Linked DNA regions of Coturnix japonica. The protein of the gene in region 1 interacts with the protein of each later gene in a biochemical or structural test. Links are inferred from orthologs where the notes say so. Each region holds a gene or a part of one and is shown on either strand. Other genes may lie near its edges.

Evidence for each region.
Region 2: the proteins of LRRK1 (region 1) and ECHS1 form a complex in vitro, tested with the Homo sapiens proteins (2 studies listed by BioGRID and IntAct, with this or other methods). The link is inferred for Coturnix japonica from reciprocal best matches to the Homo sapiens genes LRRK1 and ECHS1.
Region 3: the proteins of LRRK1 (region 1) and ODF2 form a complex in vitro, tested with the Homo sapiens proteins (2 studies listed by BioGRID and IntAct, with this or other methods). The link is inferred for Coturnix japonica from reciprocal best matches to the Homo sapiens genes LRRK1 and ODF2.
Region 4: the proteins of LRRK1 (region 1) and CDC42EP3 form a complex in vitro, tested with the Homo sapiens proteins (2 studies listed by BioGRID and IntAct, with this or other methods). The link is inferred for Coturnix japonica from reciprocal best matches to the Homo sapiens genes LRRK1 and CDC42EP3.
Region 5: the proteins of LRRK1 (region 1) and PDCD4 form a complex in vitro, tested with the Homo sapiens proteins (2 studies listed by BioGRID and IntAct, with this or other methods). The link is inferred for Coturnix japonica from reciprocal best matches to the Homo sapiens genes LRRK1 and PDCD4.
Region 6: the proteins of LRRK1 (region 1) and TCF25 form a complex in vitro, tested with the Homo sapiens proteins (2 studies listed by BioGRID and IntAct, with this or other methods). The link is inferred for Coturnix japonica from reciprocal best matches to the Homo sapiens genes LRRK1 and TCF25.
Region 7: the proteins of LRRK1 (region 1) and FGFR2 form a complex in vitro, tested with the Homo sapiens proteins (2 studies listed by BioGRID and IntAct, with this or other methods). The link is inferred for Coturnix japonica from reciprocal best matches to the Homo sapiens genes LRRK1 and FGFR2.

The regions. Positions count from the first base shown.
Region 1 is NC_029525.1:15,897,719-15,900,648, reverse strand, and holds the end of LRRK1 (leucine-rich repeat serine/threonine-protein kinase 1), read right to left. Parts: intron 2,727-2,930; coding exon 2,625-2,726; intron 1,464-2,624; coding exon 1,286-1,463; 3' UTR 501-1,285; downstream 1-500.
Region 2 is NC_029521.1:5,960,971-5,964,579, reverse strand, and holds ECHS1 (enoyl-CoA hydratase, mitochondrial), read right to left. Parts: upstream 2,249-3,609; 5' UTR 2,223-2,248; coding exon 2,108-2,222; intron 1,936-2,107; coding exon 1,738-1,935; intron 1,651-1,737; coding exon 1,523-1,650; intron 1,450-1,522; coding exon 1,350-1,449; intron 1,271-1,349; coding exon 1,166-1,270; intron 1,096-1,165; coding exon 976-1,095; intron 895-975; coding exon 827-894; intron 752-826; coding exon 686-751; 3' UTR 501-685; downstream 1-500. UniProt on the Homo sapiens protein: Converts unsaturated trans-2-enoyl-CoA species ((2E)-enoyl-CoA) to the corresponding (3S)-3hydroxyacyl-CoA species through addition of a water molecule to the double bond.
Region 3 is NC_029532.1:3,840,242-3,844,426, reverse strand, and holds the start of ODF2 (outer dense fiber protein 2), read right to left. Parts: upstream 2,801-4,185; 5' UTR 2,748-2,800; coding exon 2,590-2,747; intron 1,548-2,589; coding exon 1,463-1,547; intron 837-1,462; exon of another isoform or gene 791-836; coding exon of another isoform or gene 683-790; intron 1-682. UniProt on the Homo sapiens protein: Seems to be a major component of sperm tail outer dense fibers (ODF).
Region 4 is NC_029518.1:28,587,374-28,591,572, forward strand, and holds the start of CDC42EP3 (cdc42 effector protein 3), read right to left. Parts: upstream 2,801-4,199; 5' UTR 2,693-2,800; intron 1-2,692.
Region 5 is NC_029521.1:23,080,020-23,084,180, reverse strand, and holds the start of PDCD4 (programmed cell death protein 4), read right to left. Parts: upstream 2,801-4,161; 5' UTR 2,660-2,800; intron 483-2,659; exon of another isoform or gene 268-482; intron 1-267. UniProt on the Homo sapiens protein: Inhibits translation initiation and cap-dependent translation. May excert its function by hindering the interaction between EIF4A1 and EIF4G. Inhibits the helicase activity of EIF4A. Modulates the activation of JUN kinase.
Region 6 is NC_029526.1:16,780,093-16,783,592, reverse strand, and holds part of TCF25 (transcription factor 25), read right to left. Parts: intron 2,579-3,500; coding exon 2,454-2,578; intron 988-2,453; coding exon 922-987; intron 1-921. UniProt on the Homo sapiens protein: Component of the ribosome quality control complex (RQC), a ribosome-associated complex that mediates ubiquitination and extraction of incompletely synthesized nascent chains for proteasomal degradation.
Region 7 is NC_029521.1:27,586,014-27,590,287, reverse strand, and holds the start of FGFR2 (fibroblast growth factor receptor 2), read left to right. Parts: upstream 1-1,474; 5' UTR 1,475-1,586; intron 1,587-2,646; exon of another isoform or gene 2,647-2,739; intron 2,740-3,106; exon of another isoform or gene 3,107-3,294; intron 3,295-4,274. UniProt on the Homo sapiens protein: Tyrosine-protein kinase that acts as a cell-surface receptor for fibroblast growth factors and plays an essential role in the regulation of cell proliferation, differentiation, migration and apoptosis, and in the regulation of embryonic development.

The DNA.
Region 1 (2,930 bases):
CACCAAGCTCCAGCAGCAGACAAGACACCAGGGTTATGGGAACAAGAGTGCTGAGAAGCAGATTTCAGGCTCTAATCTCACACTCCCAGCCCATTGCTGCCCACTGGGATGCACTCGCTCCCAGCGACATCAGCTCTCCCAGCAGCTCCAGCCCCTCAGCTCCCTCTTTCCCAGCAGCAGGACTTCCAGAGCAGCCACTTTACGATGTGTCTGGGGTGGGCGGTGGTGCTCATGCTCAGTAACAGCGGGACAAAGGCAGCTTTGTGCCCACTGAGGTGATGCTGAGGTTGGGGCTGGAGCTGAGGCACAAAGCCCAGCCTGGGGTGCAGAGCATGAAGCTGTGCCTGGGGTGCTCAGGGCAATGCAGAGCCATTATGGCTCTTACAGATACTGGTTTTGCAAAGAAGCTGAAAGGAAAGGCACCAGTGGGTGCCAGGCATCACAACCACACACTGCAAACCCGAACCCCTGTGGCAGATTACCCACCACAAGTGCCTGTGTCACAGTGCCAAGGCAGGGAGGAATCTGTTTATTTGAAGACACCCCTCTTTAGAGACAAAGTGTGTCGTAGCAGCCTGCAACAGGGACATGAACCAGACCTGCCCGCACGGCCTCGGCCCGCGCAGCCGATGCTCACAGAAGTTTCTTGGAATAGAAAAACAACAAAATGTCCAAACTGTACACCTTTACACAGGGCACGGAGCCAGGCTCCTTTTACAGCGCTGTACATGCTCGGAATTAGGAAGTGCAACTCAGAGCCCATAAAGCATCCTGGGCCACTAATGAAGACAAACTAAAAGCTGCGGCGGCGGAAGCTGAGCAGATACACAGGCAAATGAAACTTATTGTGCTCCTGATACTCCAGAGTGTAGTTACCCAGAGAAAGAGGAGCAGAACAAAGGCAGCTTATGGGCTTCCCTGGTCACAGAGCTCTCCCTTCTCTCCCATCAGGAAGTAGCTGTCAGCCCAAGTGGCTTTGCTTTGTATCAGCTCTATTTTACAACTGACTTTGCAGGAGTGCAATTCAATAGCTCGCTCACTCCCCGAGCTGCAGCCACCTCCTGCACTCAGCTGCACAGAGAGCGCCCAGCGCCCATATCCTGCCCCTGCTGGGCTGCCCCCAGAGCCCTGCTGGGCTCTGCTGCCAAAACCCCATGCAGCTCCTTAGCAGCAAACAGTGGTACACTGTCCCTGTGCACCCCATCCCCTCCCCGTGTGGGGCTGCATGCTCAGGGCAGGACGCTTCCCCTCTTCCATCAGCCCTCGGTTTCCAGTGCCACGAGCACTACCTCCTCTTCCTCATGCAAGTTTCAAGCCGTCCCAGCTCTTCGTAGGCCTGGTAGAAAACGTCAAAGTCTCTGGCACTCCAGCCCCTCCAGACAGCCAGGCACCACTCGGTGTTTTCATTCTGAAAGCAGCACACAACCGTGTCCTTTGCTACGAGAGCAGCATCCACCAGCGTCCTGGGGAAGGAAGAGCAGAGAATGGCATCAGGGTGGATTGCAGCCCCACTAAGCAGCGGGGCCCGCTAATCCCAGAGGCACTGATTCACAGGCTCTCCTTTCCAGCTGGTGAATCTCCTTTTATAAGCTGCAAATCCTTGAGAAGGGAGAGCATAGCAAAGGGAGGAACAAGAAACCACAGCGTGGCAAAAGCAAGCAGTTCAGTGACATGGGAAAAGATTCTGTAAGGGATTCAGGTGCCCAAACGTGAAGCTACATGCATAAACCTGCTGCAACGTTCTGAAGTTGCTGATAATCTCCTGATCTGTTCAATCCCTGCAGCCAGTTGGGTGTATCCAGAGCAGCCAACCAGCCCATGTGAGTGATGGGCTTGGATGGGGTGGGTGGCATGGCACAGCAATGCTGTGAGGTGAGCCAGTGGCAGCCCCAATGGCCGTGGCTCTGCACCTAATTTCCTCCTAATTGTTTTTAACGGTTGGGTAAAATAAAAGTCAAACCTACAGCCAAGAATGCCCCACTCTCAACTAACTGATAAAAATGCTCAGTGAACAAGGCGAGGGAACGGCAGGAGTGCTTTGATCTCACGCTGTGTTTGCCCAGTGGTAATAAATGGTCATTTATAATCCTTAGCAGTGCTTAACCTCCATTTGTTTGGACATAAATAGTACAATCCCAGACTGGTATTTAAGTGATCAGCAGGAGCACCCCCATCTCTCCAGCAGCTATTTATTTATCTGGACTCTCGTTTGCTGGATGAAATCCTTTACATTAATGTATAGAACTACTCTCCCCTGTGCTCTCGGAGCCGTCCCCTGGCCATTCACTGCCGACAGCACAAAGGTGCTCATTTAGAGCCAGAACTTCAACCTGATCCACATGAATGAAGCCACAGACAAGCGCTGCGCTCTGCATAAATACACTGCTTGTTCCTAACACAGGGCCAGAGCCTGCCAAGCTCCAACCATCTCCTGCCAGGTGCCGCTGCCCTCCGAGTACCTGGAGGCAGCAGCAGGCAGGATCAGACAGACACCGGGCTCTGCCCATCACGTTACAGGGCACCAGGTGAATTTTGGAGACCAGGCTGTGGTCACAGCATCTCACCCTCACCTCTGCAACCCATCCCCTTGAACCCTTGGGAGCCGGTGCCCAACTCAGCCTCACCCATAGGGAGCCAGCTCCCCGGCCTTCAGCACGGCGATCACTCGGCCCCGCTGCATGCCCGATTCCTTCTCCAGTCCAATCACGATGATATCCCCTCCTCTCCTGCAAAAGAAACGAGGGAGTTGCACACATACACTATGTAATGGGGACTGCTGGCAGCTGAGCAAATCCTGTGTTGGATGCCCACCCTCTCTGCTGCAATCCCTCCTGTACTAACACAGATTTCTGCAGGGAAGGGGCACTGCCACCTCACCAAGAAGCCACTGAATCTGCTGCACTAAGAACCCCTACAGCTGGCAAATCACA
Region 2 (3,609 bases), on another chromosome or scaffold:
GCCACCTCTGCTTCTCTTACAGCATCCAGGCTCCACAGGCAGTGGAGAAAGCCAGGCTTGCCAAGGACACTGCTTCACGGCCTCTGTTCCTTCCAGACCCTGCTCGGGTCCAGGTGGGGCCAGAGCAGGACCGTGACCATCTCTATCACCCTTCGGACAGGGCTGAGGTGGAGCCTGAACCCCAGTTCCACAGAGCACGCATGGTTCTGTCGGCAGAGGTGGAAAATGGTCCCTCAGAGGACCGTGACCACCTGTACCACAGCTAAGGGAGGCTGCAGCCCTGCCCCCACCATGAGCCCCCAATAAACCTCTCCTTGTTGAGCAGCAGGTGGGTGCTTGGTTTCTGACAGGAACAGGGGGGTCCAGCAGGCCAGGGGACTCAGCCAGTCACCCCAGCTCCCATTCAGCCCATGGGAAGGCCTGGCTCTTTTAAAGGCTCTCAGCCATCTCCAGTGCTTTTCAATGTGGAGGCTCCTAACAACAATGATGATGCACCAGCAGCACCAGGAAAGCCTTTTAATAGCAGTAACGAGCCAAAACCCTACTGGGGATCATGTCCAGTGTGGGCATCATTCCATGCCAAGCGCTGGCTCCCTCTGCAGTGCCAATGGGCCCATCCTTCGTTTTGAGGCACATGGGTGGTAAAGGGCAGACAAGGGCAATCAGTGTCCGCAGGTTCTGCAGCTCAGCTGTCAGTGAATTTGGCCTTGCGCTTCTCCACAAACGCAGTCATCCCCTCCTTGCGGTCGTCCTGGTGGCAGAGAATGGGTTGGGGCGGCCCACAGCCCCACTCTCCCTGTGTGTCCAGGGCCAGCCCTGTACTCACGGTGGCAAAAGTGGCATAGAAGAGGCGCTTCTCCGTCCTGTTCCCCTCTGTCAGTGTTGTTTCGAAAGCTGGAGATGGAGAAAAGATAGGGATGAGGAGATGGGAACACTGTTCAATCTGGACCCCAAATCCCTGAGTTCACCCCGTACCAGCATTGACAGACTCCTTGGCCATAGCTACCACCAGCTTGGAGTTGGCAGCGATCTTCTCAGCGCAGCCAATGGCTGCATCCACCAGCTTGTCCGGGGGAAAGACTTTGCTGACCAGACCTGGGGGCAAGCAGGGAGGTGATATGGGGACCCCCATTGTGCCCCCAGCCTCACCCACACCCCTACCTACCTGCCACCTTGGCCTCCGCTGCTGAGATCCGCTCCCCAGTCAGAACCATCTCCATGGCCAGTGATTTGCCCACCGCCCTGGTCAGCCTCTGCGTCCCCCCAGCACCTGGGGATGGGGTGTTGGGTTTGGGAGCAGGCACGTGGCCGTCACCAGCCCACCGGGGACACACAGCCCCCACGCTCACCTGGGATTGTCCCCAGCAGGATCTCAGGCTGCCCAAACTGTGCCTTCTCCCCAGCATAGATGATGTCGCACATCATGGCCAGTTCACAGCCGCCACCCAGCTGCAAGCACAACGGGTTATGGCACAGCGGCAGCACAGATACGGGGACATGGGGACACGGAAGGGGCACTCACGGCGAAGCCATTAACGGCAGCGATGGTGGGCTTGCGGACAGTGGCCACCCGGTCCCAGCCCGCCAGGAAGCCGCTGCCATAGCACTCCTGGAAGGTTTTGTTCTGCATCTCTTTAATGTCAGCGCCGGCTGCAGGGGGGAAGGCACGGGGTCACCAAAGGGCTGCGTGGGGATGCGGAGGTGGGGCGGTGGGACCGCGGGGTGCCGGAGCCGTACCTGCAAACGCCTTCTCACTGCCGGTGATGACAACAGCTCCCACCTGCCCGTCGGCCTCGAAGGCGTCCAGCGCCCGCCCCAGCTCCTCCATCAGCCCCGCACACAGCGCGTTCAGCGCCTCGGGCCGGTGCAGCCGGATGAGCCCCACGCTGCCGCCCGTCCCGACCTTCTGCACCTGCACGAAGCGGAACGGGGCCCCTGCGCGGCCATTGCGGGCCGACCTTCACCCGTGTGTCCGCGCCGGGCGGTGCCGGCTCCCGGTTCCCCCGCTCGGTGCCGCTGTTCTGACCGCGGCCCGCTCCCGCTGCCCGTCCCCGGCTCCCGGTGCCCCCCGCCCCGCAGCTCCCCCGTCCCGTCTCCCCCCGCTCACCGTGGCTGTACCCCCGCCCCGCCACGTGGGGGCGCAGTGCGTTCAGCAGCGCGCGGTGCCGCGCGGTACCGGCGCAAACAGCGGAGCCGAGCAGGGCGCGCAGCGGGGCCGCCATGTCTCTGCGCGGACACTGCCCGCCCTCCCCGCGGCCTCGCTCCGCCCCGCGCCCATCGCCGCGCTGTGCCGCGCCCCGCACTGCGGATCGGCCATTGGCACACGCGGGACCCGCCCCGCCGCTCCACACGCGTGTCCGCGCTTCACGTCGCCCGCGGGCGCGCGGCCCCGTGCCCACAGCGCGGAGCGGACGGGAGCGGAGCAGGAGCGTGAACCGGGGCTGCACGGCGGGGACGAGACCAGCCCACGCGGGACGTGGGAGCGGGAGGCGGCGGGGGCAGCTGTGCCGTGAGGTGCGTTGGGTTGTGCACGGGTGTGCAGGGGCTGCGCACAGCGCGGGGTGCGTGCGGACGTGCAATGCGTGCAGCGGGATGCGGCACGTGTGAGCGGGACGGACAGCATCACACTTGTCTGTGCAACCCGGTGTCAGTGCATGTGGCACGTGTGTTGAAGTGTGTGACACACGTGCCGTCCATGTATCAGTGTGTGTAATACATGTATCAGTGCATACAACATACATGTGTGGTCCGTGTATTATGCAACATATGTAACGTGTGTGTTGGCATATAGGGCAGACGTGCAGACCATGTGCTTGTGCACCTCATGTGCCGGGGAATGTAACACACATTGTGGTGCATGTGACGCGTGTAATCCATGTGTCAGTGCAATCTACATGCGTGTTGTGAATGTGGCACACGTGTAGTCCCCGTGTTGGTGCATGTAGCACAACACATGCAGGCTGTGACCATGCATCCCACACACAGGTGCATGTGCAAGGCATAAGGAGACCTCGTTGCTGCCCGCGTACCTGTACAGCCCGTGTTGGTGCACGTGACGTCTGCAGCCCATGCACGATGTGACTGCTCACACCCCACATACGTGTGTGCACGCAGTGAGGTGGGCACCTGCCCACAGCACAGCCCCCCTGTGTGCAGGTCGGCGGGATGAGGCGGCGCGTGGCCTGCTGCTGGGTGCTGCTGCTGCTTGCTGCCACCTTCTGCCAGCCAGCTGCCTCCAAGGGCGGGCGTGGGGGCTCCCGGGGGGCTGCACGCGGCATGGCACGGGGGGCTGCCCGCAGCCGCCACAGGGGCCTGCCACGCTACGGCGGGGCTCTGCGTGTGGCTGCGGCGGCGGCGGCAGCTGGGGCGGCGGCTGGAGCTGCACTGCACCAGGCCCGGGCAGAGATGGAGTACCACGAGGGCAACGGGACGGCCTGGACGTCGGCGGCACCGGGACGGATGGAATGGGGCTGGGCCGTGCCCTGGTTCTGTCCCCTCGCTGCCATCCTGCACCACTGATGGCGCCCACTGGGTTCCTCAGCGATTCGACAGTGACGTGGAAATAAAGCTGGGCGACGCTGCGTGTGGATGGATGTGGCCCAAGCAAGG
Region 3 (4,185 bases), on another chromosome or scaffold:
TGTCTGCAGATATAAGAATGAGCCAGCAACTTCCATTATTTGTAGAGAAAAACTTTACACAAACATCCAACTTCAAAGAGATACAAGACAGCTACAACCCAGCTTCAGTATTGCCTTCTGTCTACTGTGGACAAGGGTATGAAGAGATCCTGTGTAGCTCTGCAGATTGACAAGGTATTTAATGCCAGAAGATGGTTTGAATCCAGCCCCTCTTCTTCCAAACACGTTAATTTGAATACAATCAAGACAGAATGTGGAACATTCAGTTCCTTCCTTACCCCAAACCCTTCCTTCAAATACAGGGATGAAGCTGAAGAAATAACACTATGAGAATACAAATCTAGGACATAGGAGGAAAAAATCCCCCAAGCTACATCACACTGAAAGCAACAGTTCTCATAGTCATGGAATTGTAGGGGCTGGAAGGGATTCTTAGAGATGATCGAATCCAGCCCCAGTCAGTGAAGTAAACATGAAAACAAGCCATATATTCTATAGCATAATGAAATCAGCTTAAACACAGAAAACACATCACTGAAAATTCACCACTGGTTACACACAGCAAAAAAGGCAACAGGTCTCAGTTCTAATGCTATGTAAAACAGACCTCAACGACTCTGTGGTGCTGCCAGCACTGCCTCCTCCCTGCAGCCCTCACAAACACCCAGCTGCACACTCCTACCTGGCATTTTGCAGGTGTGGATTTCTGACCCTTTTTAATATGGACATGGACAGGGGTGTTTTCATCCACATGGACGTGCAAAGGGGGAGATGAGGAACGGTTCTTCATGGCTCTTCTCCCACAGACGGGAAAGGGCAATACAATGAAAGGAAACCTGTGAATAAGGAAACTGGAAATAACAACACTTCCCTCTGTGCCAGAGAGCAACAGTGGCCAGTTTTGATTGAAGCATGTGCTGTCTTTCAATAGCATCTGCCATTCTGAAGTGCATGCCATTATGCTGTAAAGCTATTAACACAAATCATTTCTCTGCTGGTAATACTTTTTGTGGCCACTAAAGAACAAACGCAGTTGAACCAATAGAGTCACTGGCGTTCAAAGCATCAGAACAGTCGAGCAAATCAAGGATCTCAGTAACTAACACCAGAGTCTGGATAGAAATCTCATAGAGGAAAAGAGCATTAATTTAACAGCTCGGATTAGAAAAACCAACAGGAAACAAACAGCTCATTCCACCCTGGAACTCTGAACCTGGAAGTTCTCTCACATGTGCTTAACTTCAAATTCTTGAAGTCAAACCAATGCTTAAAAGCCTTTGGATCCTTGTTCAGATTTTCCCTCTGTGATGCACACAGGTACAAATTCACACACTAATTGCCCAGCACAGAAAAGCCCAGAGACACGAGGTTAAAGAAATCAGTGTAGGTGTGAATCTTCCCTTGAGGTAAGGATTCTTCAGTACAACAGCAGAGTTCTGTCAGCCCAGGTATAATTACTTACGGTTATTTTAAGGCTTTTAGATCCTCTTGACACTGTGCTCTGTGCAGATACTGATGTCATTTCATTGTTGATGGATGAAGAAAACCTGATGCAGAAACAACACAATCACAGAATGTCCCAAGTTGGAAGGGGGACCCACAAGGACCATCGGGACCAACTGGTGGGAACAGTGCCAATCTCACAACATTCCCTTCCTTTCAAACAAAGGCAACAACACACAGACTCAAATATATCCTGTATGAACTCAAGTAACAAAAGTCAGCGTGCTGTTGCTTCCTCTGATAAGTGCTTGCAACAGAAAAGCCTGCAACACGAGTCCTTGGTGCTGCACAGCCCAGCAAACACAAACACACTGCTGGCCAACCAGCCCCTTCCACAGACCTGAACTGAGAGCAGTGTGAGCTGCTGCCTCCTACTGATGGGACCGGGAGAAACGAGTGGGGACAGCTGTGTCCAATGGGTATATGGAGCTATTGGAGCTGCAGCACGAAGGGCTTCACTGCTGACCTTATGGAAACACTGCCTCAAAGCTTGCTGCACAAGGGGATACGGTACAAGAGTTACTTAAAGTGTCATGTTGTTCTGTACCGCTGCTAGAACAGAATTCAGATGAGTCTCCACAGCTCGTGATTGATTTGACAGGGTGTAATACACTGCTCGGGGTGAAACCAACATGGGCACATCGATATGAAGAACGTCAGGTTCTGATCACAGCACAGCATAACAGGCACCGGGCAGGGAAACAGCTCGGCACGAAGCCATGGCCACAGCTTCACCGGGTGGGGAAACAGCGGCCTGAGCAGCCGGGCAGGAGCACCACAGCTCTCCTACAATTGAACACAGCGCTGCCAACGGGTAACTGCCGGCTGGGCTCCACGGGCAGCACAGGAGCGGCCACAACCCGCGGGACAAGGCAGGGCTACAGCTCGGGGTGATGGTTCATTTCAAGGGACCGCTACGTCAGCTCGGAACTGGAAGCGAGAATCGTCACCGAGAGGCACCGCGCAGCGAACCGGCCCCGTGAGCCCTCCCGGCCCCGCGCTCAGGGCACCAGGGCCGCGCTCCCCTGGGCCGCTCCCCGCCGCGTTCCGACGGCCCGTCCGCCCCCTGCTCCCCCTGCTCCTCACCGCGAGCTGCCCAGCGCGTTCCATGACCGTGGCCGCTTCAGATGTTCCTCGCTGGCGGCGGCGCTGCGGCGGGGCGCCCCGCTGCCGTGTGGGCACCACGGGCACGAGATGCAGCCGCACTTCCGGACCCGCCGCCCCGCCGCCCGCACTTCCCCCATTGGGCGGTTCAAACCGGCCTCGGCCGCCGCTCGCCGCCCCGCGCCCCGCCGCCCCGCGCCCCGCCGTCCCGCCCCGTCTCCACAGCGACGAGTCGCGCACAGCGTCACAGAAGCCTTTATCCTCACACAGCGGACACCAGAGCACAGCGCCCACAGCCCACGGCCCAGCAAAGGAAGGGCTGAAGGGGGCTCTCCCAGCACCGGGGATTCACCCCGATTCTATTACAGAAGAACTCGTCTTTAAAGTCCAGCATCAATGTCTCAGTCAGCAGAACAGATGGGTGGACGAATGGAGGAAGAGCCTGAAGCAAGAGCTGCTGAGAACGATCGGACCAGATGCAGCTGTAACACTAGTAGCCAAGCAAGCAGCCTGCATTACAGTGCTGTGCTCTGAGCACGGCTCCCACCTATAGTCTGCTCAGTGCTTCTTCAGCCCGAGCTGCTTCCTCCCCGCAGTGCCCCAAACTCCTCCTGTCCTGCCCCATCCTTCTCACATCTCACTCACACACTGCAGGATCCCTCTGCCCGCAGCTCAGGGCTCTGAACAGCACAGTCTGTGCCCGCACATCAGTTCCAGAGGTGTGATCAGTCCGTTCAACTCGTTAGAAGATAAAACACTATTCCTTCTTAAGGATTTTCCCCCATGCAAGTATCTCAGGAAGGAGGCTGCAGGTGGCATCAGGCTGCAGCTCTCTGAATGGCTTCCTCCATGCGCTGGTACCAAGGCTGGATCTTGGTGTGAACCATCATGTCGTCAAAGGCTTCCAGCCCCTCCATGACCCGGAGCACCCCATACACTGCCTGCACCAGGGGACAAAGATCAGAACAGCACTGAGAAAGGCAATGGTGGAGAAAGGCTCAGGCTATCAATGAGAGCCCAGAAAGCGAGGCTACAGCCTCGCTCCACAGCTCCGGTTAGTAAGGAAGATTGAATGGGCAAAAAGGTTGCATGAACACAAACTGCTACTTTAAGGAAATAGTTAAGAAAAGGACAGAATCTAAATGCAATTATGGAGCTGAATTTAAGCCAGCTCAGTATCAATCCCTGGTGGAAAATATTTCCCCTCCATTCCAGGGTAAGAATCACACTCTGCTCCTCAATGCTGCCCCCAAGGAGCACCTCCTCAGCACCAAGTGTAATGCAGCCTGTGCAGGTGTGAGGCTCTGTTCACCAGCAATCACTATCCACAGCGGTCATTCTGGTTTTCAAACTGCTCATCTCATGGTTCCACACAGCCTGTATCACTGTCCTGCAGATGGGCACTGCAGGCTCTTTGTAGAGAGCATTTTGCTAAAGGAAAACAGCAAACACTGCCCTGCTTTTGCTAAAGCATTCTACGTGCCTGTAGCTCGTGTAAATCACCTTCCCTATGTTCATATCCACCACTTCACAAGGATAAACAACAGGGTAATTTGCAATATATGTAACCACAGAAAC
Region 4 (4,199 bases), on another chromosome or scaffold:
ATACTCTATGTAAGAATTATATTCAGGAGTGTCATCCAGAACTCTCCTATTTAGCACAGCACTGGAAATAGACCTTTTGTTCAGCATGAGCATTACCTGGGCCCTTCTCACTTGTAGCACCTACTTCTGCCATCCAGCTTCACAAAAAAGCCTTCCCTGCTTGGTGGTGCTTCACATCCACTCTTGATAATCTACCCAGCGATATCCATCAGTACCACCTGCATGCTTTCACTGGCTATTAACTAAGCTGCTTTGCAGTGAGAAGTCCTTTAAAAGCAGTTCACCATCTCACACTTGTGTACCGTGCTCTTCTTATCCACATTTGGGAAAGGTACCTTTCTGTCACACACTAAAACCATCAAGGTAGACCTGCAGTCAAATAACCCCCTGTAAGCGCTGTACTGGTGGGGCTGTGTTATGCATAGCCCTCCCAGTCAGTTCCCTTGTACTGCTGGGAGGGACAGCCAGACAGCTCTTCTGAGATGGCTTCAATCTTGACAAAAGCTATTGACTCTGCTGTGATTGAGATAAGAAAAGGAAAAAAAGTAGAGAAGTGATGCTTTTTGCTTGTTTTTCCAAACTTACATTTGTGTACATTTGCAAAAATGCATATATTTGCATGCAAAAGCCAAAAGGAGCTCTACGTGACTTGGATTGGATCTACGGCAACTGTCTCTGTGAGGGTGAGGAACATGAGCACCTCTGAGCCCCAAGGATACCGCACCAGGAGAAGAAGAGAAAACCTGAAGGCAAGTTCTACATGCAGAAGGAAATTTCTTTCTAAATACCAGCACAATTCCCTCCCCTACCTTAAACTATTTCTCAAGACTTGGGCAGAGGACCAGAATTTCTTCTAGAAGGAGTCACCTGGCTTAGAAGATTATAAACCGAAGCAGCATACGTAATTACGAAAAGCTGAGAACAAGACAAGTTTTGCCACGAAACATGGCTTTCTCTGGTTACAGCAAAGCTTCTATCAGTGGCTTGGAACAGTTTGAAACACCTCTTTGAAGTCAGTGTGACAGCAGTCAAACGGCGCGGTGCAGAGCCACGCTGCCCCAGGGAACGTGTGGCTCCAGGCTGCCTGTCAGGAGATACCATCTCCTTCATTTCCAAAGGCACCAGGCCACCACCTGGCGATGCTGGCTGGCTCCACACATCACTGAAGAAGGCAGGACTACAGGGACAAGTAGTTTCAGCAGCCTGATTTTCACTCCTACAAATGTACAAGGTGCTGCTGAGACAACAAGAGTTGGGACTATCTTTCATCTAAGGAGGAGATGGGCCCCATTGTTTCCTTTGCAGATACTGCTGGCTTATGCTGAGGCCAGGAAAAAAACGACTCCTTTCAGTGTTATTCTACCGACCAGAGAACCTGCTCAGTTCCTCTCCCCTGAACGCTGTAATAAAAAACAAATGTTCAAAGCAAGGAATGCCTTGAACATAGGGATTTTTTGTTACTTTTCTGAATGCTTCTGCTGAAAAACTATTTTTAACACGGCAAAGAGCTAAAGTGAAGCTTAATGCTGACGTTCCCAAAGGCTGGACCCTTTCAGAACAAAACACTTTAAAAATAAATCCTGGCAACAGCAATCACCTGCTGATAGACGCTTTTATGTTCAGCCAGCTGCTGAGATGCCACATCTGTCACTTCTTGCTGCCAGTATCACGCTTTCCTTTTCTGTAGGGAAGGAGAAAATGCTGTTCCTGCATTGTGCTGAGCATCACGATGCCTTTTTTGGTAGCTCTGTCATTCCTCCAAACATCTGAGCTACCACATGCGGATTTCAGCATTTCTGCTGCCGCTCTCGCTCACTTTTAGATCCTCGTACCTTAAAGCATCAGTTTTCCCTGAACCACGTTACATATTTATGATCTATACATAACTGAGAATACTGCTCAGTGTATAAGCAATTTCACTCCTGGGCACTCAATCCGCCTCCTGCATCCAGATGCTTCTCAAAGGAAAAGATCCGGATCGCGTTCCTTTCATTAAGCATTTCATAATAAGCCCTCTTCCTATTTTTAAAGCATAACAACAGTCTATGGTGACGCAAGTCCTAAATTAATTGCTTCCTCTACTTCACTCTTTTTTTACGTTTCCATCGAGGACGCAAAGAGCCCCTCTCCTCAATCTGCCGCCCACTGCTCTCCACCGGCGGCCGAACCCCGCACCGCCCCGCACCTCCCGGCCGGGACTCTTTGTCTGCGGGCAGCGGGAGCCGCTCCCGACCGCCGCTCAGGTGCACACGGACGGACGGATGGACGGATGGACGGATGGAGGGATGGACGGATGGAGGGATGGAGGGATGAAGGGATGGAGGGATGGACGGATTGACGGATGGAGGGCCGGGGGGATGCGCGGGTTTACCCCGCACAAAACGCAGACGCGGTGCGGGGCTGCGCCTACGACACAGGACGGGAAATAGGGACCGGCGAAACCCGCAGCAGAGACAATGTAAACCCATTATCGGGGGACGAACGTAAGCTCTGAATTACGGCGATGCAGAAACACCCCCAGCCATCAGGCAGAACTACACCCCAACACGAGGATTCATCGATAAATGCCTCCGAAACGCTTCCCCTCCCTCTCTCCCTCCCGGCTCGCTGCGGGGCCGCCGCCGCCCGCAGTGGAGGCCACCCCTGTTCGGAGCTCCGCACCGGCAGCCACCCTCCCCACTCCCCCACTCACGGCTCTGCCGGCTGCTGCCGCCGCTCCTCGCTCCTCGCCGCGGAGACGGGCGGGCAGAGGGGCCGCCCCTCCGTGACCGGCACCTGCGAGCGCCCGTCAGCGCGGCCGGGCGGCGGCGGATCCCCGAGTCCCGGGGGCGCGGCGTGGGGAGCCGCGGGAGGCGGCGCTGCCGGCGGGGCGGGCTGCAGGGAAATCCCGGAGCGGCGGAGCGGGGCGAGGCAGCCGCGGGGCGGGACGTGTGCGAGGAGCGAGCCGAGAGGAGCGAGCCCTGGCGGTCGGGAGAGCTCAAAGGCAGGAGGAAGGGCCGTGGCCGGTCGCGCAGGCTCTGGCTGCCGACCGGTGGGTCGCTGCGTGGGGAGCGCGTACTTGATAACGTTTTTCCTTGGTAAAGAGCCGAGGTCGTTGTCCTCCCGCAAGCTCTGCCCTCCCCAGGTGTCCGTGGGCAGGTACCTGCCCTGCTCCAGGCGGTGATGCTGAAGGGGCGATTTTGGAAAGGTCGTCTTTGGCAGTGCCCCAAAGCACCGCGTGTGCGTGTGTGGAAGCGTCTGATGTGGTACGGGCCTGATTTGGGCTGGGGCGTTTTTCTGAGTATTTGCATAATTTTCATTATGTATGGCATTTCTAAGGAAGGGTGAACTGTAGGCGCATTGCGTGTAGTTGTGTGCATAGTTAAAAATATGTTGATGTACTCTCACCTGGGTGAAAGAGTATTTCCCTTTACTCTCTTTGCACTGTTAGCATTGGAGCACTTCAATGCAAATGCACCTGACCACAGGACAAGAGCATTTTCTTTTACGTAGATGCGGTGCCAGGATGCACAGAACATTTCCATGTTAGGCGTGTGCCCTCAGCCTGCGGCACCCTTACGCACAGCAGTGTTTGTGGGCGAGAAGCATCACATGATGTGGAACTGATTGCTCCCCGATCCCATTGACTGAACCATGGAATCACGGAATGGTTTGGGTTGGAAAGGATCTTAAAGCCCACCCAGTTCCAACCCCAGCCACAGGCAGGAGCAGCACCGCCAGGAGGCTGCCCATCCAACCTAGCTTAGCAACTCCAGGGACAGGAACAGGCTGCCCAGGGAGGTTGTGGATTCCCCGTCCTTGGAGGTGTTCAAGGCCAGGTTGGACGGGGCCCTGGGCAACCTGATCTAGTAAAGGTGTATGTTTGGTGGCCCTGCCAGGCAGGGGGGTTGGAACTACATGATCCTTGAGGTCCCTTCCAACCCGGGTCATTCTGTGATTCTGTGATTCTGTGACAGGGCATCCTCAGCTTCTTAACTTCTTTAGGAAATTCAGTCCTTGCAGATGAATTCTGAAATACTTTAACCTCCACAAAAGTCCTTTTAGCCATCCCATTCACAGCACTTGATTTTTCAGAAAGCCGAGCTCTCTGTCAGTCAGTCGGTTGCTGCCTGCGGGAAGGCTTTGGGCTCACAGCCCGGCCCACAGCGGGGCTCTGTGGGGCTCCTCCGGTACCGATGGCACGGGCAGGGACTGCGCGG
Region 5 (4,161 bases), on another chromosome or scaffold:
CTGTTCCAGGGCCTAACCACTCTCCTAGTGAAGAACCTCCCCCTACGCGATGCCTCCTCCCAGCCCCGCTCTAATTCCAACCCGTCCATTTTATCACGGTTCGGCTCACTCCCGGCTCTATCTCACTGCATTACACCACACGGAGCCGCTCGGCACCTCCCTCCCGTCTCTCTCTCACACCCGCTGCCGCCTTTGGCACCACTCTGGGCCCGCCCCGCGCCTCAGGCCCAGCGCCACCACAACGCGCAGCGCCCCCTCAGGGGTTACCTCAGCGATGGGTCCGGGGAGCCGCTCCACACCGCGGCTCAGCTCGGCCCCGGGTACCCTGCAGATACCCTACGGGCAGCCTGTAGGCAGCCTACGGGCAGCCTGCCGAGCCCCTGCCGCCGAGGTGGGACCGTTACGAGCGGCAGCTCGGCCGGTTCGATTGCACTGGGCTCGGCCCGGCCCCGCCCCCAGCCCGCGCTGCGTCTCTGCTTGTTTTTGTTTTCTTCCCCCCAGCGACACGGCGCAAAGCGGAGCCAACGATTGGCTGAATCCCGCCCGCCTTAGCAGCCAATCGGAGGGCGGAGGGAGAGGAGGGTGGGCGGGGCATCGGCCTGAGGGAAAGGAAAGGGACGGCGGGGGGGAAGGAAACATGGCGGCCGTGTCGGCGGGAAGGGGGATGGGGGTGTGCAGCGTTTCTGCGTTGCCAACTGGGGACAGGGAAGGGTCGGGCCCTGTTCGCTTCACACAGCACCCCTCTGGCCCTCCTAAGCTGTGTGGGTGTCACAGGTGCTCGTGAACACACCACGACTGCCCCAAAGCAGGCGGCTTTTTGTGGGGTCTGTGAGGAAAGCTGCTCACACACGTTCCTCCACGTTGATAACCAACCCATGTGTCGATAACCAGCCCATGTGTCCATAACCAACCCATGTGTCCATAACCAACCCATGTGCCCCTAACCAACCCATGTGCCCCTAACCAACCCATGTGCCCCTAACCAACCCATGTGTCCATAACCAGCCCATGTGTCCATAACCAGCCCATGTGCCCCTAACCAGCCCATGCGTCCGTAACCAACCCATGTGTACCCATTCACTGCCTCCCAGATTTTCTGCTTCAAATCAGTGTGCACTAACCCTGTTTATTCTATACGCAGCGCCTAAGGCCAGGCACCTGATTACAGGTGACAGCCTGTTTTATTGTCAAGTGCTCTGCCTTCACTCAGCCCCTCCTCAAAGCTCTGTGAGCCGTTGTTCTTCCCTTACAGTTTGCTCCTGCTGAGAGCCCAGCAATGTTTGGTGCCCTGAGCAGCCGTTCTGCCTCAGTGCTTGAGCACTGCAGGGTTCCTCAGCTGCCAGCCAGGGAATTACAACGTTACAGCCTGACTTTTGTTGTTTCTGGGGTTTTTTTTACATATTATTCCAATGTATTTCTACCCCAGATCGGTCTGAACCGCAGCCAAACTTCCCCTTGTGTAAGAGCTTCTGAGTTCACTTATTGGCCCTGCTCGGCATGAATCATCAGAAGGAAGTTTAAGAACCAAAACAACAGTGATCTCTTAAAGGACTGTGAGCCGTGATTGCTGTGTTTTTAGTGATAAACACTTCCCCCCACCAGACACGATGGAAAGAAAATCTTTCTTGTTTGTGATAGCTCTGGGTTCCAGCCATGTTACAGGCAGGACAGCTTAGCGTGCTCACATAAGCCTTTCTTCATATAAGGGGCAGCCTCAAAGGATGTTGTTTCGCTCATCAATCAAACAATAATTCCTAATTTCTCTTTGCACCTTGGCTGCCTGGGATGTGACGCTACATTGTCATCACTGAGATGCGGAAAACAGAATCTATCCATTAACAAAGACTGTGGAATTCAGCTTCCCCGCAGCAAGACAGCAGAGGAGCTGAATGATTCTGCAGCCAGGAGAGATGACTGAAGGTGCGGTGATACAGTAACAGGAACCTGCACAAGAGAAGATGCCACAAAATAACACCTCAGTGCATCCTGCCCCTTTGCTACTACCTGTTCTAAAGCCTTCTGTAAAATTACTGGAGGATTTTATGGTGAAATTTAGGGCCCAAAAGCTGTCTGATTCAATCAGAAGAAGAGGAAAGCTCCTGAACCAACCAGCACACCTCCAGACAAGGAAATGGCATGTTTTTCCTTTCTTCTGCTGCATGTTTCTATTAGCAGCCTGACTATCAACCACTGAAAACCTTGTCTGGATTTGACAGTACAAACCTTCTGATTTCTAAAACACTAAGACCTGAAAAAGGACTGATGTGCATGCAAGATTACTGGTGTCTTGCTGTTGTATCAAACAGACTACTCAAATATATAATCATTTTGCCTTTTTTGCCTCAAAACTTGCATGGTAAAGAGACATGGTTCATCTCACGTTAATCTCCAGGCTGTAGGGAGCAGCTTGCTCCTTCCCACTTCCCTCCCTGGCCGTATGAACAGCACTCAATCTCCATAAGAACAAGAGGGCAGAATCTCACTCCCCCCTTCCCATCTACAGCTCAAACTCAAGGAAAAAGAAAAAAAGAAAAAAAAAAAAAAAAAAAAAAAAAAAAAAAGGAAAAAAGGAAAAAAAAAACCTAAAACCAAACCCAACTCCTGACCAGTGCCCAGCTCCCATGCAAGCTGCAGTGTATCCGCATGCAGCCCAGGTTACCTGCACTGGGAGCTTCGCTGTGCCACGCCGTGCCTTGCCACGCAGGAACTGCTGGGATTCCTTCCTGCCCTCCCACCTGGAGCAAACTGCTGGGAGAGAGGCGAGCAGGTCACTTCCCAGCTCTCTTCCTCCCTTAACGCTGGCTGGGTTGTTTTCAAACTCTCCCCTCCCTTTCTCACATGTTGGCCAAACCCTCCCAGAACACCCAGGGGAGGGATCCTCTGGCTGCAGTTCCCCAAAACACGTGGAGAACCCTTCCCCCAGCCCTGGGTTAGGGGCACACACACCCAGCACCCGCCTGCTGCCAGCCTTTGCTTTTCAGCCCACTTCAGCAAGATTCACACTGTTTATTTGCCCTCCAGCACCCAGAGAGCAGTGATAAGCAGAGAAGCTGTGTTTACTTCAAAACATCGCCCAGCATTTTCTTTGCACTCCTCGGTGTGAGTTTTTTCAGAGTTCTGCTTTCTGTTTTGATTGTCTTCAAAAGCCAGCACCTGTGATGCTGACGCCTCAGCAGTTCTGCTTCATTACAATATGCTCTGCTGCAGTGACAGTTAGAATATAGATTTCCACACATAATGCAGACAACAAAAGCATACCGAGTCTGCTAAATCCATCTGCTCTGTTCACTTGCCTGTCTCTTGGCCTTCTGGTTTCTTTTCCTTCCTTGCACTTTCATTTGCATCTTCTGCACTGGTTTCAAGGTGCCTTCTTCAAATGAACTGCAAGCACAGCAATCCTATTCCTCACCAGTCAGCATCAGCTCCAGGTTGAAAGGATACCGAAACACGCCTTCACTTTTTTAATGCTCATTAATTAGAGTTGCTTCTGAACATCCTCCTACAGCTCCATACATGAGCTGGCAACAGCGCTGCAGCTCCATCCTGCATCTGCAGCCCCTGCCCAGGATGGGCACACAGGGGGGATGCAGGTCACATCTGTCTGGGTGTGGAAGCTCAAATGTCACTTGCTGAGATGGTTTTGGACAAACACAGCCTCTCTCTGCCATGGCTTTCCAGGACTTGTCCCTGACAGTGCACAAAAACCTTTCCTCCTTTATGTTTCTGAGAGCACCTTCCTGTCAGGCAATTTGGATTCGGGTTTGCTCTGTATAGCCATTTCAGACATGTCTTCTCTGTGTTACAGTTGTCATCTGTTTATTCTTGCCTTAACAAAGACAATCACGCCTCTGAAAAGACATTTTACTAGGAAGGAAGGGCTGAACTTGTGAAATGTGCAAAGAAATGGAGCATTTGATTGGCTGTAAAGAGTTCCAGATAGTGAGTTCATTTCAAAGCTAACAACCCAAAACGTGTAATAGTGTAATACTTCAGAATAATTGCCCTTTTCTTACTGGTTTACTGCAGGAGAAAATCTTCAGGAGCCCTTTATAACAAACAAGCTGTGTTATTGCCTTTTAATTATTATTTGACAAATGGAGGTACTGTGATAAATAAATCACGTGCCTGTGTTTTGTGTGTGTGTAATCACATGCTCCATAC
Region 6 (3,500 bases), on another chromosome or scaffold:
TTCCACTTCAATGGTTTCTTTCCCTTGTTTTTACTCTTGCCAAGTTCTCAGCTGCCTCTTTGCTTCAAAAAGCTTCCCAGGCCCAATTAAGAGAGCCCCATATCCCTCTGACTCATATTTTCCCAGCAGGGCCTCCAAGTGTTGACTGATTCAGTTTAAGCTGTATTTATAAGTGGAACCAATTTTCTGGTTCAGAGCAAGAGGAATTCAGAAATCAAGGCAATTCTAAGGAAGTCACATCTCCTTAGTCAGGGACTGCTTCTTTTTCCTCAAGTGCTAGATGCCACCTTTTGCTTTAGTCTCTCCTTGGAGGAGTCTAATTCATCTACAGACCCTATCACAGATTTCCCTTTCCACCATCACCACCCCGAGCTTATACCATTCTTCTGTGCACATTTACCAACCAGCCCTCAAAACCAAGGATTTTCTGTATAACATCAATGACAAAGCAATGAGTAATTGCACAGAAATCTTACACCTAAGCAGCAGTTGGTGCCCTGAGCCTACATGAGCAAGCTTATGAGACTACCTGGAAAGTATTCAGGGTCTACTCTAAGACAGAGACTTCAGAATAATAACAAGAAACAAAAGCTGGAATAGGACCAAGAACCTAATAGCCTATGAATCTGAACAAAAAGATTTGATAAGGGCATTTGACAGTACATGGGAGAGGGGGTTAAAATAACCAGCAAAAGAAAAAGGAACTACTAGGTAAAGTCTGAAGAAACCTTACACCTTTCTCACACACAGCCCCAAAAATATTCTTCTGACCACTAAATAAGTAAGACCCCATGAACACATTGCAGTGCCCTGGGTTCCCAGCACAGGCATAGCACCAGAGACTCAGTAAGCAACGCCAAGGCAAGGACAGACACAGCAACTCAAAATTCAGAAAATTTTACTATTAAACTTTGGACTAACCTCTGATCACCGAGAACAGCACGAGCCCCAAAGTATCTCTTCAACTCATTCTCTGGATTCAAGTTTCTGAGAATGTTGAAACAAGAAAGAAAAGTTAAACAGACAAAAATCTTGCAATCTTTTCCTTTTTAACAAAGCCAGGTATGTTGTACCAAAAACCATCCCTGGCCAAACTCCTGAACTATCACATACACACCCCTCTGGTATGACACAGCACACCAGGAGAACAGTTAGTGGTCAGAGCAGGAGGTATCCAAAGCCCTGTTCAATCAGGTGCACAGCTCCTTTGTACACTGCTCTAAAGACAGTGAGCTAGGGAATACTGCTGCCCTCTCCAGGACAGATGGGTCCCTAGCCTGGCATGCTCCCAGGGACAGCCTCGTTCAGGGAAACATGCTTGGGGTATTTGCACCTGGAAAACACGAGATAACTGCTGCTAAGCCTATCAGTGGCGGATTGCAACCCAAGGCAAGCACCCTAACCACTGTATGGAGGCTGGCAAGGCTTAAAATACATGCTTTTAATACAAAGATTGTACATCAAAGCATGACAACACCTACAGTTTTCTTCATCTAACATTTGGCCCAGAGAAGAGAGGCACATTTAAGGGGGGTTTCTCTCTGTCATCCAGTGAGAAAGGCTCAAAGGAAGATAGGGAGTGGGAAGGTTGAGATCCAGCACTGCCAACTCACTCCCACTCTGAGATTATCCACTTCTCAAAGGTTTCTGAATAACATTCACCTGACCAGAGAATTCACTGAAGTCGAAAACATCTTGGCAAGCAAACATCCCTCCCTTTATTAAAAGGAAAACTAGCTAAACTAGCAAGAAGAACCCACTGGCCTAGATTGTTTTGGTGCAGTGTGTTTGGAGGTTTCAGAACCCTGAGTGGTAGATTGTTCAGTCCTACAAGTTCTTTTCCCAGAAGAGAAAGAGCTGCCAGTATCCATATTAACCCAGAACTCTGAGACAGGCTGGACACAGAAGCTGCTGATCCAGGCTGTGATGTTACAGATGTCTAGTGTGAGGCTAATAGCCTCCTCAGCTGGTGGACATGCCCAGCACTTAGTCCACTTTGTTAATGGTCACATGTGGGAAAGGTTAGACGAGTCTAACAAGCATTCCTGGTGAAATTAGTTGCTGGTACTGCTTAGCCCTCCTTGAAGGGCAGCATGTATTGGTGTATTGGCCTGAATAGTCTGGCTTCAAAGCTTTATGTGCTGAGGCAGAGTCAACCAACAGTTTTCAACACAGAGTCACCAACAGTTTTAGCCTGAAAGACACTTCTGGGGGTCATCTGATCCAGCCACCCACTGCAGATGGGACAGCAGAGAACACTCATTGCTGCTAAAAACTGAGCACAGCTTTAGGAGCAGTAGTCAGAAATGGGGCTGTGTACAACTGCTACCATAACTCCTTTCACATAAGGTTCTGGATTTATGGCCAGATTACATAGGTAGGCTTCCACCTCCCTTCCTCAGTATACAAATACTTCTGTCACACTCAAAGCCAGGAAGGAAAGCGAGCTCTACCTGTGCTCTATGTAGAGCAGAGGCCTGCTGTCTGCAATTATTCCACTCTGGGTCTCTTGTGATAGTCCATTGGTATCCTCAATCTTCTCCAGCAAGCTGTCGATGTCTTCCAGGTCATCATCTTCCTTAAGACATGCATATGCAAAGACAAGGCAGTAATTACAGGAAGAGACACAGAGGCACACAGGTCACCCAGCTGCCTCCAGGTCCTGTGGCTCACCCCGATATCATCCCACAGACCCCACTGTTCACCCTGATTCAACCCCAACTTCGGGAGCACGCATACTCTTTTGTAATGAGGCTTCTTGCTTTCCACCCAGCACCCCGCATTTCCCTCAGGAATCCCACCCTGCTCCTGCCATCCCTGTCCAACTGCCCCCAAAATGCTGGCTGCTCTCCCTCCTTCTTCAAGGCATCACAGGATGCTGCTCTTCATACTATCACAAGCCTGAGTGTGTCAACTGAATAAACCCAGCGTGGCAGGCTTGCTGCCGGCCTCGTGCTCTGAGCCCAAACCAACTGGCCACAGTGGTCCTTCCCAGCACAACACAGCTCACGAGTCTGTGCGTGTCTGCTCTCTGGTCTCCCCTCTCCTACAAAGCTGTGCTTTGTCTCTTGTTTACTTATATGACGATCTAACTTCCTAAAATACCATGAAAAGTTGGGAGGCTGATTTTAATGGTGAAATAAATCAACCTTCACTGTCTGCTTTCCACAGAATCGTTGAATTACTGCTGTGATCACTGTAACAGAAAATTAGACACACGCACGCCTGTAATCCAGTTCTAACGTGCTGCATGGTCACCTCCCACTCTTCTAACAACCAGAAGAACACATCCAGCAGAAAACATTCAACAGCTGTACAACACTTTCACCTCAGTTTCCCTCTATTTTGCCCACAGGTAGCAAGTGACACATTTCTTATGTGGCCACTTCACATCCTCCTTAGGATCCACATGGGCAGAAAGTGGAATTCCATTCATGACACTCAGCATTCCGAGGTTGCCTTATCCAACTAAATACACTGTGTGGAGTGGGTACATGAAA
Region 7 (4,274 bases), on another chromosome or scaffold:
TAGGAGAATGAGGCTCCTTGGAGAGAATAGGGTGCCATTGATAGACTGCTATCTTTTCATCCCCAAAAAGAATAAATTCTGACAAGTGCTTCCAGACATTGGGGATAGGTGTTCTGATTTGTCATTTTTTTTTAGCAGAATGCTTCCTTTTCTTTTTCAGAGCATGCAAAGATAGCGATGAATGGGGAAAGGTATTGCAGCTTCCTGTGTCGGGCAATAATTTATGTGAGAATGCATTAAAGGGTGTTTTCAAAGGGCAGTGGACATGCCCAGAGCTGAGAAAATTGGATCCGGACTGTGACATTGCAGCTCCTCAATTAGAACATTGAGACGCCTCTTGCTTTAGGAACAACAAGAGTAAAGCTGAGCTTCCAATCTCGCCTGCAGCCCCTCGCTGCTGCTGCTGCCGGTGGGAAAGCACTATTTGGGAGGTAGGCACACGGTGCACACAAAACTTGTTTTCAGCTTTTGGTGCTTGAAAGTGTGTAAATACAGAGAGCCACTGCTGTGCCGCCGCAGTCCTTGAGAGCCTCCAATCAATACTGTGCAGAACAGATCCAGTGCACGGCAGAGCTGCGCTCAGATAAAGTAACGTTACATTGATCAGCACTGATTTAATTGGAGGCGAGCGGCGCTTATTGATTCAGTTGTCAGGCCGATTCTACAGAGCAAGCATTGCACGGACTGCGCTAGCAACCTTTTAGTTAATGGTATCTAAAGTAAAAGCTTTATTAAATTATACTCAATTTTAGATACCGATATTATGCATCACTTTAAATCACTTCGGGCACCGCTGCTGCATCACCAACACACAGCTGACCCCACGCCGTGCACACGGGTGGTGTTTGCTGGGTGTCACCATGCCTCGGGTTGGGGCAGCGCTGCTGTAGCCTCTGGTCCTACAAACCCCCCGCAGTCAGGTGGCCGAGGTGGTACCGTGAGTGAGTGCGGGTGCCATCAGGGCTGCGTGCGGGCTGGGGGCGGCCGCCTCGCCCTCCCCACCGGGCAGAGCAACGCTCGCATCCCCAGCGGGACCGGAGCCGGGGCCGGGCCGGGCTGTGCGGCGGGGGCAGGGGCTCCGTACCGCAGCCGCAGCGATTGGCAGAGCCGAGCAGCGCCGTCCAGGAAACGGCTCGGATTGCAGCTGGGGGAGTGACCAGGGGAGGAGGGAGGAAGGAGTCGGAGGAGCGTGCGGAGAGAGAGAGAGAGAGAGAGGGAGAGAGAGGGAGAGGGAGGGCGAAAAAGAAGGAAAAAAAAAAAAAAAAGAAAAAAGAGGGGGGTTGTTGGACTGACAAAGCTGCGGCGGCACGGGGAGGGCGGCTGGATGGAGCGGAGCGGGACCCGCGGCGATGCCCGCGCGGGGGAGGAGGCTGCTGGCGCCGGGCACGGCGGGCTCGCCCCAGTGAGGCGGTAGCGCCGCAGCGCAGCGAGGGGACGGGACGCCGGGCGGGCTCCTGCATCGCCGCCCCGCCGCCGCCAGCCCCGCATCCCGCGGGGGATGCGCCGCGTTGCCCTGCGGGGCCCCCAGCCCGCCCCGCCGGGGCTGCCCGACGAGTGAGCGCGGCCGCGGAGCCGACCGGCTTCAGGTAATGGCACGGCCGGGGGTAGGGAGGGGAAAGGTGTTGGGGGGGAGTGGGGGCAAACCCGAGGAGGGGAGGGCTCGCGGCGCTCCCGACGGGACGGGGAGGCTCGGGATGCTGTCTGCGGTCCCGTCCGATGCGGCGAAACCTTTAGGGGACGGTGACAGCGGGGCTGAGAGCAGCTCAGCCCTCGGGAGCTCCCCACGGAGCGATGCTCGGCGGAGCGGAACCGCCCCCCGTCCCGCACCGGGTAAAAAAAGAAATCCGCGGTGATATATAGGTTTAAATGCAAAACGGCTCGTTCAAACAGTGAGCCATTATGCGTTCGGTGTGAAACGCTATCAACATTTAAAACTTCATTGTCTCCTTTGTACCAAATCCCTGTAAATCTTCCACTAGCCTTTACTCATTTTCATCTGAAAAGCCTGTTTGGGCTGAATAGACAGCAATCAACAGCCTCTGGACTTCTCTCTCTCTCTGGAATGTCAATTAAAATGCAGATCTTTTTTTTTCTCTTCCCCCCCCTCCTCATCTCTTAGTGGTAAAAGACTTGAGAAAAACAGGATAGTCCTGGAAAGCGAATGAAAGAAGTTCAAACAATGCGAAAGTACGGAGGCTTGCCAGCCGGTTCCCATTAGTCCTCCAGAATTAATGTTTAATAGCTGTGATGCTCAGATTTGCTCGGAGATTGAGCGGGGATGGAGACGCGTGCGTACGTATGTCTGCATCTCCGTATAAATAGGTGTCAATATTTAAGCCCATATGCGCTCGTTGGGGAGCTCGGTGTGCTCGGATGGTTGTAGGGAAGCTGCCGGGTGCTGGCATTGGGGGAAGCTCCGTATTTCGTTCAGATTTCGCTATTCCCTGCCTTAATAGAGAGCGCTGCTAAGAGCTGCCCGATGAGCAGCGTATTGATTTGGTTAACATGCTGTACAAATTGGACCGTCCCCGGGGAGTGATAAACATCTTATAAACAACAATGGGAGTAGATTAAAAAGAACACTGAGCGTTGAATTTAATTAATGCCACTGCTGAACAAGAACTACTTGTTTGCGAGCGAGTGTGCTCAAAAGTGGAGGAGAGCTCGGAGGAATTTGGTTGGGCTCCCAAACCAGTCTGCGTTCCCATGCTCGTCAGTTTGGCACAGAAATTTGGGCAGGTATGTGACGAGGTGAAAATTGACTTGATGAGCGAGTGGCAAGGAGAGCCATCAATCATTGGGGGCTGACAACTCCTCCCCGAAGTGTAGGCTGAGAGGAGAGACAGAGTTCCCTTTCAAGGGGAAAAATAAACACTACGTGTGGCTTTCACTGAGTCTGAGACTCCAGGAGGGATTATGGTATTGTAGTCAGGAAGCCAGAATTGTGGAGGCCAAAAAGCATGCTGGGGCTGTGTTCCAAACATTGAGATAGAGGTACATAATTAACCAGCGCAGGAGGTCCTTCCAGGGAGCCGTTCCCCGGCGACTGTGGCCATCAAACTATGAAAAGAATTTGGGTTCTTTTGGTCTTCGTTGGACTCCGTTTGGTTTGGGAACGGGCAGCGTTTGGACCGTGGTTGTAGATTTGGGTTCTGCGGATGGGCCCAAAGCTCTGAGTGTCGCTTTGCTGCACCTTCTTGAGCCCAGGCTTTGAATTTGGTGTTACCCTGCAGGGGAAGAGTCCCTCCGTGCTGCTGTTGGATGCTCAGTGCAGGAGCTGGCAGCCTCCTCCAGGTGAGCAGTGCTGCCATTCGGGATGGGCACACGGCTCTAAATGGCATTGAATGCAGCCTGGAAATCCTGTGCTGCTGAAATGTAGGTGGGATTAATGCTGTTTAGAAAAGAGTCTGGGATATATGATAGCATTCTGGTATGTTTTCTTTTTGCGAAAAAATATGGTTAAGCTTTGCATTTATATACGTAGCCTTTAATCAGGCTTTACGGGATGATTTATGGAAATTAAATTAGCTTTACCTCCAGTCTGTTAATTAGGATTTATACCTGCTTTACAGCTGGATAAACTGTGCTGTGGGGCTGTGAGTCAGAGGCTGAGACCCGTCCTCGGGACAGAACTTGGGCTCCACACCTGCATTGCCCTCTTGTAGGGAGGTGCTCTGTGGGTTCTTCCCCAGTGTCTGTGAAGTGGTCTGGCTTTGGTTCTGCTGGAGGTGGAACTGTTGTGTGCTTGTGGTGTCGTGCTCTGCTTCAGTCTCTAAAGGAGCAGCGGAGCATTGAGCTGGGATGGGAAACGCTTGCCCCAGAGAGGCAGAGGTTCACCTGAAATGCTGTGTCTGAACCCTTTACCCAATTGGATCTCTTCTCAAATCTGCTTCTGCAGAGCCTGGGGCTTCCAAGGATGCCCCACACACACCTGTCCCCATTTCTGGGAGCTGAGTTCAGTTTCCAGCCCTGAGTGAGAGGCTGAAAAAGTCTGAATACATTCCTTAATGGTTGGCTCCATAAAGGCAGAACATGTGTTCGTTTTGCTGAGTTCTACATGCTGTGGTACCATAGCTCAGGCTTCTTTTTTTCCCCCTCTATTTAAGGATGGGGGCAGGAGGGGGGAAAAAAGAGGTTTTATGCAATTCTTTCCCCAAGATCAGTGCTCTCTAAGCTTCAGTTGGGTCTCATTACTTCTAAGATGAGTTATTGGCTGATTTGAACAGCTTGCTTGATTTATCCATCGACAGTGGTGTGCCACCTTGTATTTTGGG